2 linked regions of the Neurospora crassa OR74A genome follow. The protein of the gene in region 1 purifies or fractionates together with the protein of each later gene. This does not show direct contact. Links are inferred from orthologs where the notes say so. Each region holds a gene or a part of one and is shown in the gene's direction. Other genes may lie near its edges. The genes, in order: NCU01201 and NCU03748.

Evidence for each region.
Region 2: the proteins of NCU01201 (region 1) and NCU03748 purify together in Saccharomyces cerevisiae (affinity purification with mass spectrometry; 3 studies listed by BioGRID, with this or other methods). This does not show direct contact. The link is inferred for Neurospora crassa OR74A from reciprocal best matches to the Saccharomyces cerevisiae genes TRM112 and LYS9.

What each region holds. Positions count from the first base shown.
Region 1 is NC_026505.1:3,220,792-3,224,177, forward strand, and holds NCU01201 (trm-112), read left to right. Parts: upstream 1-1,644; 5' UTR 1,645-1,793; coding exon 1,794-1,979; intron 1,980-2,170; coding exon 2,171-2,368; 3' UTR 2,369-2,804; downstream 2,805-3,386. Other genes in the region: NCU01200 (peptidyl-prolyl cis-trans isomerase B), read left to right, coding at 106-430, 492-618, 688-839, 1,082-1,335; NCU01202 (hypothetical protein), read right to left, coding at 3,151-3,290, 3,352-3,386. UniProt on the Saccharomyces cerevisiae protein: Acts as an activator of both rRNA/tRNA and protein methyltransferases. Together with methyltransferase MTQ2, required for the methylation of eRF1 on 'Gln-182'.
Region 2 is NC_026505.1:2,286,938-2,291,282, forward strand, and holds NCU03748 (saccharopine dehydrogenase), read left to right. Parts: upstream 1-1,467; 5' UTR 1,468-1,751; coding exon 1,752-1,765; intron 1,766-1,874; coding exon 1,875-1,957; intron 1,958-2,054; coding exon 2,055-2,332; intron 2,333-2,391; coding exon 2,392-3,363; 3' UTR 3,364-3,747; downstream 3,748-4,345. Other genes in the region: NCU03747 (hypothetical protein), read left to right, coding at 1-183; NCU11261 (hypothetical protein), read left to right, coding at 4,281-4,345.

The sequences.
Region 1 (3,386 bases):
CTTTCCTCCTCCTCCTCTTCCATCTTCTTTTCCACCAATTCTTTGACTTGGGTCAGGTCATTGTCTTTTTCCATCTCAACCCAAAAACTATCGTGAACCGTCAAGATGTTCAGCTTGCGGCGACTCCTCCTCGCCGCCACGCTGTTCCTCGGCGCGATGCTGCTCTTTGCGCAGTCCGCCGAGGCAGCCAAGGGCCCCAAGATCACCCACAAGGTCTACTTCGACATTGAGCAGGGCGACAAGCCCCTCGGCCGCATCGTTATGGGTCTCTATGGCAAGACCGTCCCCAAGACCGCTGAAAACTTCCGCGCTCTTGCCACTGGCGAGAAGGGCTTCGGTTATGAGGGCTCTACCTTCCACCGTGTTATCAAGCAGTTCATGATCCAGGGTGGTGACTTCACCAAGGGCGATGGCACCGGTGGCAAGTCCAGTATGTTGCTTCCAAGTTCCGTTATGCACTTTGGTCCATATCATTGACCGCTTGTGTACAGTCTATGGTGACAAGTTCCCCGATGAGAACTTCAAGCTCAAGCACTCCAAGAAGGGTCTCCTCTCAATGGCCAACGCTGGCAAGGATACCAACGGCTCCCAGTTCTTCATTACCACTGTCATCACCTCGTAAGTCGAATACACTCGAGCCGCATGGTCTAGGAAGTGCCCGGTTGGCTAATACACATTTTGTCGCAGTTGGCTCGATGGCAAGCACGTCGTCTTCGGCGAGGTCCTCGAGGGCTACGATGTCGTCGAGAAGATTGAGAACACCAAGACCGGTCCTCGCGATGCTCCTGCTGAGCCTATCAAGATCGCCAAGAGTGGCGAGCTTGAGGTTCCCCCTGAAGGTATCCATGTGGAGCTTTAAAAAGCGTCTTCTATCCATCCTTGCGAATCCCCATTTCCCCACCGTTAACTGTTCATAAACCTGTGTGGGAAAAGTCATATAAAAGAGGAAAGGATATAGAAGCAAAACTTTTTGGATCCTCATACCTACAATGGTGTCCAATTGTGGATCGTTTTGTTCCTATGACCGTTTACCCGTGTATATGAGTCCATGTGCTGATGAGTCGGTGTTTTTTCTCATCAGGCCTGGAAGGCCAGTCGGAATGGGCATCTCCCGCGTACGCAAACGAAGACGAGAAGCCTGCTGCTCCTGTTCCTGTTACCGATGCCAAGCCTCCTGCGCACGACAGCATCCCCGCCGCCACCGCCGACGACGATGACACTGGTGCTCCCTTGTTCGCCAAGGTCCTCTTCTTTGGTGTATTAGTTCTAGGTCTCGTTTTGTATATTCGCCTTCGTCGCGCCCCTAAGGGTACGTACGGAAAGGGCATGGAGTAGGCAATATCTCGAATATTTGAAATCTGACAAGGCTGCATAACAGGTAGCTATCAGGGTCTGGGCGGGCGTGAGTAGCCCAGACGAGTATTGTTGAAAGGGAGAAGAAAAAAAAGGATCAAATCATGGGCATAAATGAAATCATCGGATAGTTCGCTTTTATTCCCATGTATATCAGTCGCGGTAATGGTTGTGATGGTTGCTTCGGCGATGTAGTGGCGTGTCTGTAAGTCGAAGCATAAAAGTAGCATCACGTGGATCCATTTTTATCCGTTCGAGTCGCTGGGATATCGAACTTTTTTTTTTTTATTACATTTTTGGTAAGACAGTACCGACTCGTAAACCACGACCAGGAAAACCTTGAACATCTTTTCACTATCTTCCCCGAAACTCTAGGTCTCGCTGGCCGAATCCAAAACTAGTTGAGAAACATAATATTCAATCAACCAAAACCCACCAAGATGAAGGTCATGACACTCAACTTTCTGACCTGCGCGGTCAAGAACTGCAAGTCATCCAACGACTCGTTCCCGCTGCACCCCAAGGAGGCCGAGCTGGCCAAAGATGATATCGAGATCAACCCTCAACTTCTGATCAATGTCTTGCCTCGCATCGACTGGGCTGCTCTGCGGACTACTTCTACCGAAGTACGTTGAACTCTTTTTGTATTTTCAAAGCCGACCCACCATTTCGATATGGAGCTACAATATATCTTCATCCCCAATTTTCAGAGAAATACCACACGTCCATCTCACACCTCCCTCACCCTCCCACACTTTCACTTCACCCCAAACAACAACAGCATTTCAACGACGTCCTCAACTAACACACACATCAGCTCGGCTTCCCCACCCTCCCCGAGCAGCCTCCCTCGCCAGAGGATCTTCAGTCCGACGAGGCTCTCCTCAAGGAGCTGCACGAGCTGCTCATGGAGACCCAAATGATGGAGGGCAAGCTCGTGTGCGGCCACTGCGGACACGAGTACGCCGTCAAGAACGGCGTGGCCAACTTCCTCTTGCCTAGCCACTTGGTATGAGTGTGGAGCGCGAGGCAGCAAGGCGAGGCGTTTTCAGGGATGGTCGTGTCAACTGGACTAATTGGACTGGTTGCCAGAGACCTGTTGGAGAATCGGGGAATCTTCATCGGATAGTAAGCACCAAGGAGTGGTAGAGATGGAGAAGTGGTTCCTACCACACGGACTCGGGGAATGCATGCGATGCCAGAAGGCTGGCCACCTGCGGGTAGCAATGAATGGATGGATGGATGGATGGTTTGGGTGACTGCCCAGGGTTGGTTAAGGGCTACCGCAGGAGTCGTCCTGTCCTTGAAGAGACTAGAGTATGGCGAGAATGATTTCTTGAGGGGCGGTTAATTATTTCAGCATTTTACTTGTTCACTTTCAAGGCGTTCTGTAAGGGAAAACATCAATAGAGGATTATCTGGCAAATATCAGCGGCGTAAAAAAAAAAAAAAAAAAAAAAAAAAAAAAAAAAAAAAAAAAAAAAAAAAAAAATCATTTCACCAAGGTGACAGGTTGAAGTTTCCAAAGTTAGTTATTGCCCATGTTTCATGCATATCATTGCTCATGCGTGCATTCTTGTTTTCATTCCCATCTTGCTTTGTTCTAGTGTACGAATGCGCAATGCTTTAATGATACCCAACCAAGAACAAGAACCCTCGAACTCCGGCCTGTCCCCCAAACCCATATACATAGCATGATTCCATAGCAAAACAAAACTTGTGTTCTGCCGCATGCACATCTGTTGTTCGTTGCATCCCAAACCCTACAAAACACGAGGAACAGGGCCTCCAAGCGCTTTACTGCTGCTTCTTCTGTGCAGTCGGTCCCATCTCCTTGTCGAAAGCGCCATATGAGACTTCGAGACTACCGAGAGCCTTCAGTCCGACGCCCAGGATGGAGAGCATGACAATGAGAGCGAGCAGGGCGACGAAAATGCCTGGTTCAGTGTCAGTCTACTGCCTTGAAAAAAGCGCCGACTTGAGATGATGATTACATACCAGGAGTGAAGAACTGATACTTCGCAAACAGCGGG
Region 2 (4,345 bases), about 930 kb from region 1:
GAGCCCGCCGACATGGACTTTCACCAGTCTACCGTCTCTTCACTTCTTGGAAACGCCGCAGCCTACGAGAAGCCCTCCGGCAAGGGTCTGAAGCTCGAGGACGCATGGGAGCCTCCTGCCAGCGACGATGAAGAGGACAATGAAGAGCAGGAAGATGACGAGGAGGAGGAAGAGGAAGACTAAGACTCACGAGATTATGACACTTGCATGATGAAATATTGAGAAGAAGCATTACACCGGCGACGGTTTGGGACACGCATAGCATTTACGGGACGGATTCCTAGAAAGGCATATGGGCTGGAAGCCCTATCGAAGATGCATCGACACATCAGGAATGTGTGGCTAGGCGTTTTGGTTTGCGTTTTTTTTTTTTCCCTGTTTTGTTTAGGAGACAAAGATACCCACCTCTGCAAATAAATACATGTACATATCTGAACAACATGCGATCTCACTGTCCTTGATTCACACCACCATCTCTTATTCCTTGGCCGCCGTGCATGCCTGCAAATGTGATGTCTTGCTGAGTGTTCATAGTGACTCTCATCGTGAGCTTGTTGGGACGTCCCTGAATCAAGCCAAGAGTGATGAATAAGCGGCCAGCCGTCAGGGGAAGTGAATCCGTCAAATACTTGGGGGGTTCTGGGCGCCAAGGCTTTCTTTCCCCCCTACATTCCATGTAGGGGGAGCCGAAAAGTTGGGACGGTATTTTAAAATGGGACATCTGGAATCTTAGCGTTTCCTATACAAAAGTGTTAACGGAGGGACATCGATCATCATTGTACCACGGAACCTTTTTCTAAAATTCCAAGAAAATTTGAGAAGTAAAAGGACACGTCTAGAAAAGCGTACCCAAAATTGCATCAATTTTGGCACAAACATTAGGGAGATAGAAGCGATAGAAGTATCTTTCACTATAGAATCATCACCTTCGTTCGGCGTAGTGCAGCACACTGAAAGCGACAATATATAGTGTATAAAATACATTTGGACCTTACCATCTACTCATCTTTAAGGATGATTTTTTCAAAGCTTCTAAAATGGTTCCTATAAGTAAGAATTCTATACCTGAATTTTTCTAGAATTTTAGAAAAAAGTTTCGTAGTAGAATTGCTGACTGAAGTCGCTTCGCTAACACTTTTGTATAGGAAACGCTAAGATTCCAGATGTCCCATTTTAAAATACCGTCCCAACTTTTCGGCTCCCCCTACATGGAATGTAGGGGGGAAAGAAAGCCTTGGCGCCCAGAACCCCCCAAGTATGTTCCAGTCCCTGTTTGTGGTTCGCCAGAAACATGCACTACCCATCGGTTGACAGCTGCCAAGAGTGACTGGCGACCAGCTAGACTGTACCTCTACTGTAAAGTCCGGCAGGCAAGCTGGTGTTGCTACCCCGCCAGTGAGTGCTTGGCGCCAATTGGAACGACACCAGTGCGCCTTGGGTGCCCCTCGTTTGAGGTCAGGAAAAAAAAAAAAAAAAAAATGGAAGAAAGCGACTGACCAGAAGCCGTTATCGGCCGGAGCTCCACCAATTGCATCTCCAACCGCGAGCGATGAAGTGCGAGTCAAGTCTGGATATCGGTTGTTAGCGGACAAGGACGGCAATAACACCATCGAAGTCACCTATTGCCGGCTTGAGAGCATGCAGTGTGGGGGATCTAATTCTGATTCTTTCTCTCCTCCGGATTTAACCTGACAAACACCAAAACACTGCGTCTGAATCACATCAGCTTGCAGATATCACAAGTCGCAAAGATGGCTTCCCAACAGTAATGCCATCCCCCTTACCCCCCCTACATACATCTCCCCCGCCATCCTGCCCTCACCTCGGGCAACCGCAAGAGCTGGGGATGCTGACCTCAAGTTTCATGTCTTCAGCAAGGTTCTCATGCTTGGCGCTGGCTTCGTCACCCGCCCTACTCTCGATGTCCTCAGCGAAGCTGGCATTCCCGTCACCGTCGGTACGTCAACAGTCAATTATAACAATGCACCTCTTGTTCGACAGTCCGGAACGAAAATACGGGCATTTAGGCTGACATTTGCGCTTGTGCGCGACAGCCTGCCGTACTCTTGCCTCTGCTCAGAAGCTCTCTGAGGGTGTTAAGAACGCCACCCCCATCTCCCTCGATGTCACCAACGATGAGGCTCTCGACGCTGAGGTCGCCAAGCATGACCTTGTCATCAGCTTGATCCCTTATACCTTCCATGCCACCGTCATCAAGTCGGCTATTCGCCAGAAGAAGCACGTCGTTACCACTAGCTACGTCTCTCCCGCTATGATGGAGCTCGATGCCGAGGCCAAGGCCGCCGGCATTACCGTCATGAACGAGATTGGTGTAAGTCCATGACATATTAAATGTTTCGAAGCTTTCAATCATACTAAGTCGCTCGGCAGCTCGATCCCGGTATCGACCACTTGTACGCCATCAAGACCATCGATGAGGTCCACCAGGCCGGCGGCAAGATTCTCTCCTTCCTGTCCTACTGCGGTGGTCTCCCCGCCCCCGAGGACTCCGACAACCCGCTCGGTTACAAGTTCTCCTGGTCCTCTCGCGGTGTCTTGCTCGCTCTCCGCAACGCCGGCAAGTGGTGGCAGGATGGCAAGATCGTCGAGGTTGAGGGCAAGGACCTCATGAAGATGGCCAAGCCCTACTTCATCTACCCCGGCTACGCTTTCGTCGCCTACCCTAACCGCGACTCTACCATTTACAAGGAGCGCTACAACATTCCCGAGGCTCAGACCGTCATCCGTGGCACTCTCCGTTACCAGGGCTTCCCTCAGTTCATCAAGACTCTTGTCGACATCGGTTTCCTTGACGACACTGCGCGCGAGAGCCTGAGCAAGCAGACTCCCTGGAAGGAGGCCACCAAGGAGATCGTCGGTGCTGCTTCTTCCAGCCAGGCCGACCTCGAGGCCGCCATCCTCTCCAAGGCCACCTTCGAGTCCGCCGAGGACCAGAAGCGTATCCTCAGCGGGCTCCGCTGGATCGGTCTCTTCTCTGATGAGACCATCACCCCCCGCGGCAACCCTCTCGACACCCTCTGCGCCACTCTTGAGCAGAAGATGCAGTTCGAGGAGGGCGAGCGCGACTTGGTCATGCTCCAGCACAAGTTCGAGATTGAGCACGCCGATGGCTCCCGCGAGACCCGCACCTCGACCCTCGTCGAGTACGGTGACCCCAAGGGCTACTCTGCCATGGCTAAGACCGTCGGTGTTCCTTGCGCCGTCGCTGTTAAGCAGGTCCTGAGCGGCCAGATCTCTGGCAAGGGCGTTCTGGCTCCTATGAGCACCGACATCACCGAGCCCTTGATGAAGGAGCTCCACGAGAAGTACGGTATTACCATGATCGAGAAGACCATCTCCTAAGCTCAATGCGAAATTCTTGATGGACTGGAAGATGATGAAGAGAAGAAGAGTACTCTTTGACTAGGACGCCGAGTTTTAAATACCATGAGCGAAGCGACTGGACGCAAAGGAGGTGTTTATCCCCGATCGGACATGGAGTAGATCGAAGGCTGTGCAATGGCGGTGCTTCAGCGAAATACGAAGATACCAAATAGATCCAGGGTTGAAAAAAAGGAGAAAAGGGGAGGGAACTCGCCCGGAAAGGTACAGATGACTCATGAAGGTGGCATGTCCAACCCCCCCGGTTCATGGAGAGGCATGCCATGATACCGTAGTGGGCTATGAGGGCATGTAGGCATGGAAATAGGTAGTTGTACGAATTGACACCGCATGTTGAAGCCCTTATGAATTTCCGTCTCGCAACGCGAATTATTTGTTCGAATGACGCTGGAACCGTTCAAATAAGCCTGATCAGGTTGTGATACCCATCATGGTTGTCTCTTGAAGTGATTTGAGAAATATAGCGGTCGTGAGGCCTCGGGCACGCAGAGCTGTAGAGCTCAAAACGTGATCCAAGAAAACGGTGCAATTGAAAAATTGTTTGAGAGGTCCGTGTCCGACACAAAACAAGCATTTTTCCACTACCACCGCGGAAACCAAAACAACCGATCAAGAGATGACAAGGAGACAGAAATGTTCATACAACTGATTCGCACCGGCTTCCTATTTCATTGTGGTGTTTATGGATGAGCTTCATATTTCATGTCATATGAGAAAATTCTACTGCCACGCGATTCCGCCAACTCAAATTTCATCCTGACCGCAAAGCTCAAGACTCAGCGAACCAAACCAAAAACCGGACAGGATCCTGTGATCGAGACAACGCCAAACTGCCATCACAACAACCACTACCGAATTTCAAGGGCGCAAAAGAGGAAATGGTTCAGTATATCTTCACACCCTGGCGCGACCGTCGCGAACTCCTCGCTGTTCGCCGGCAATT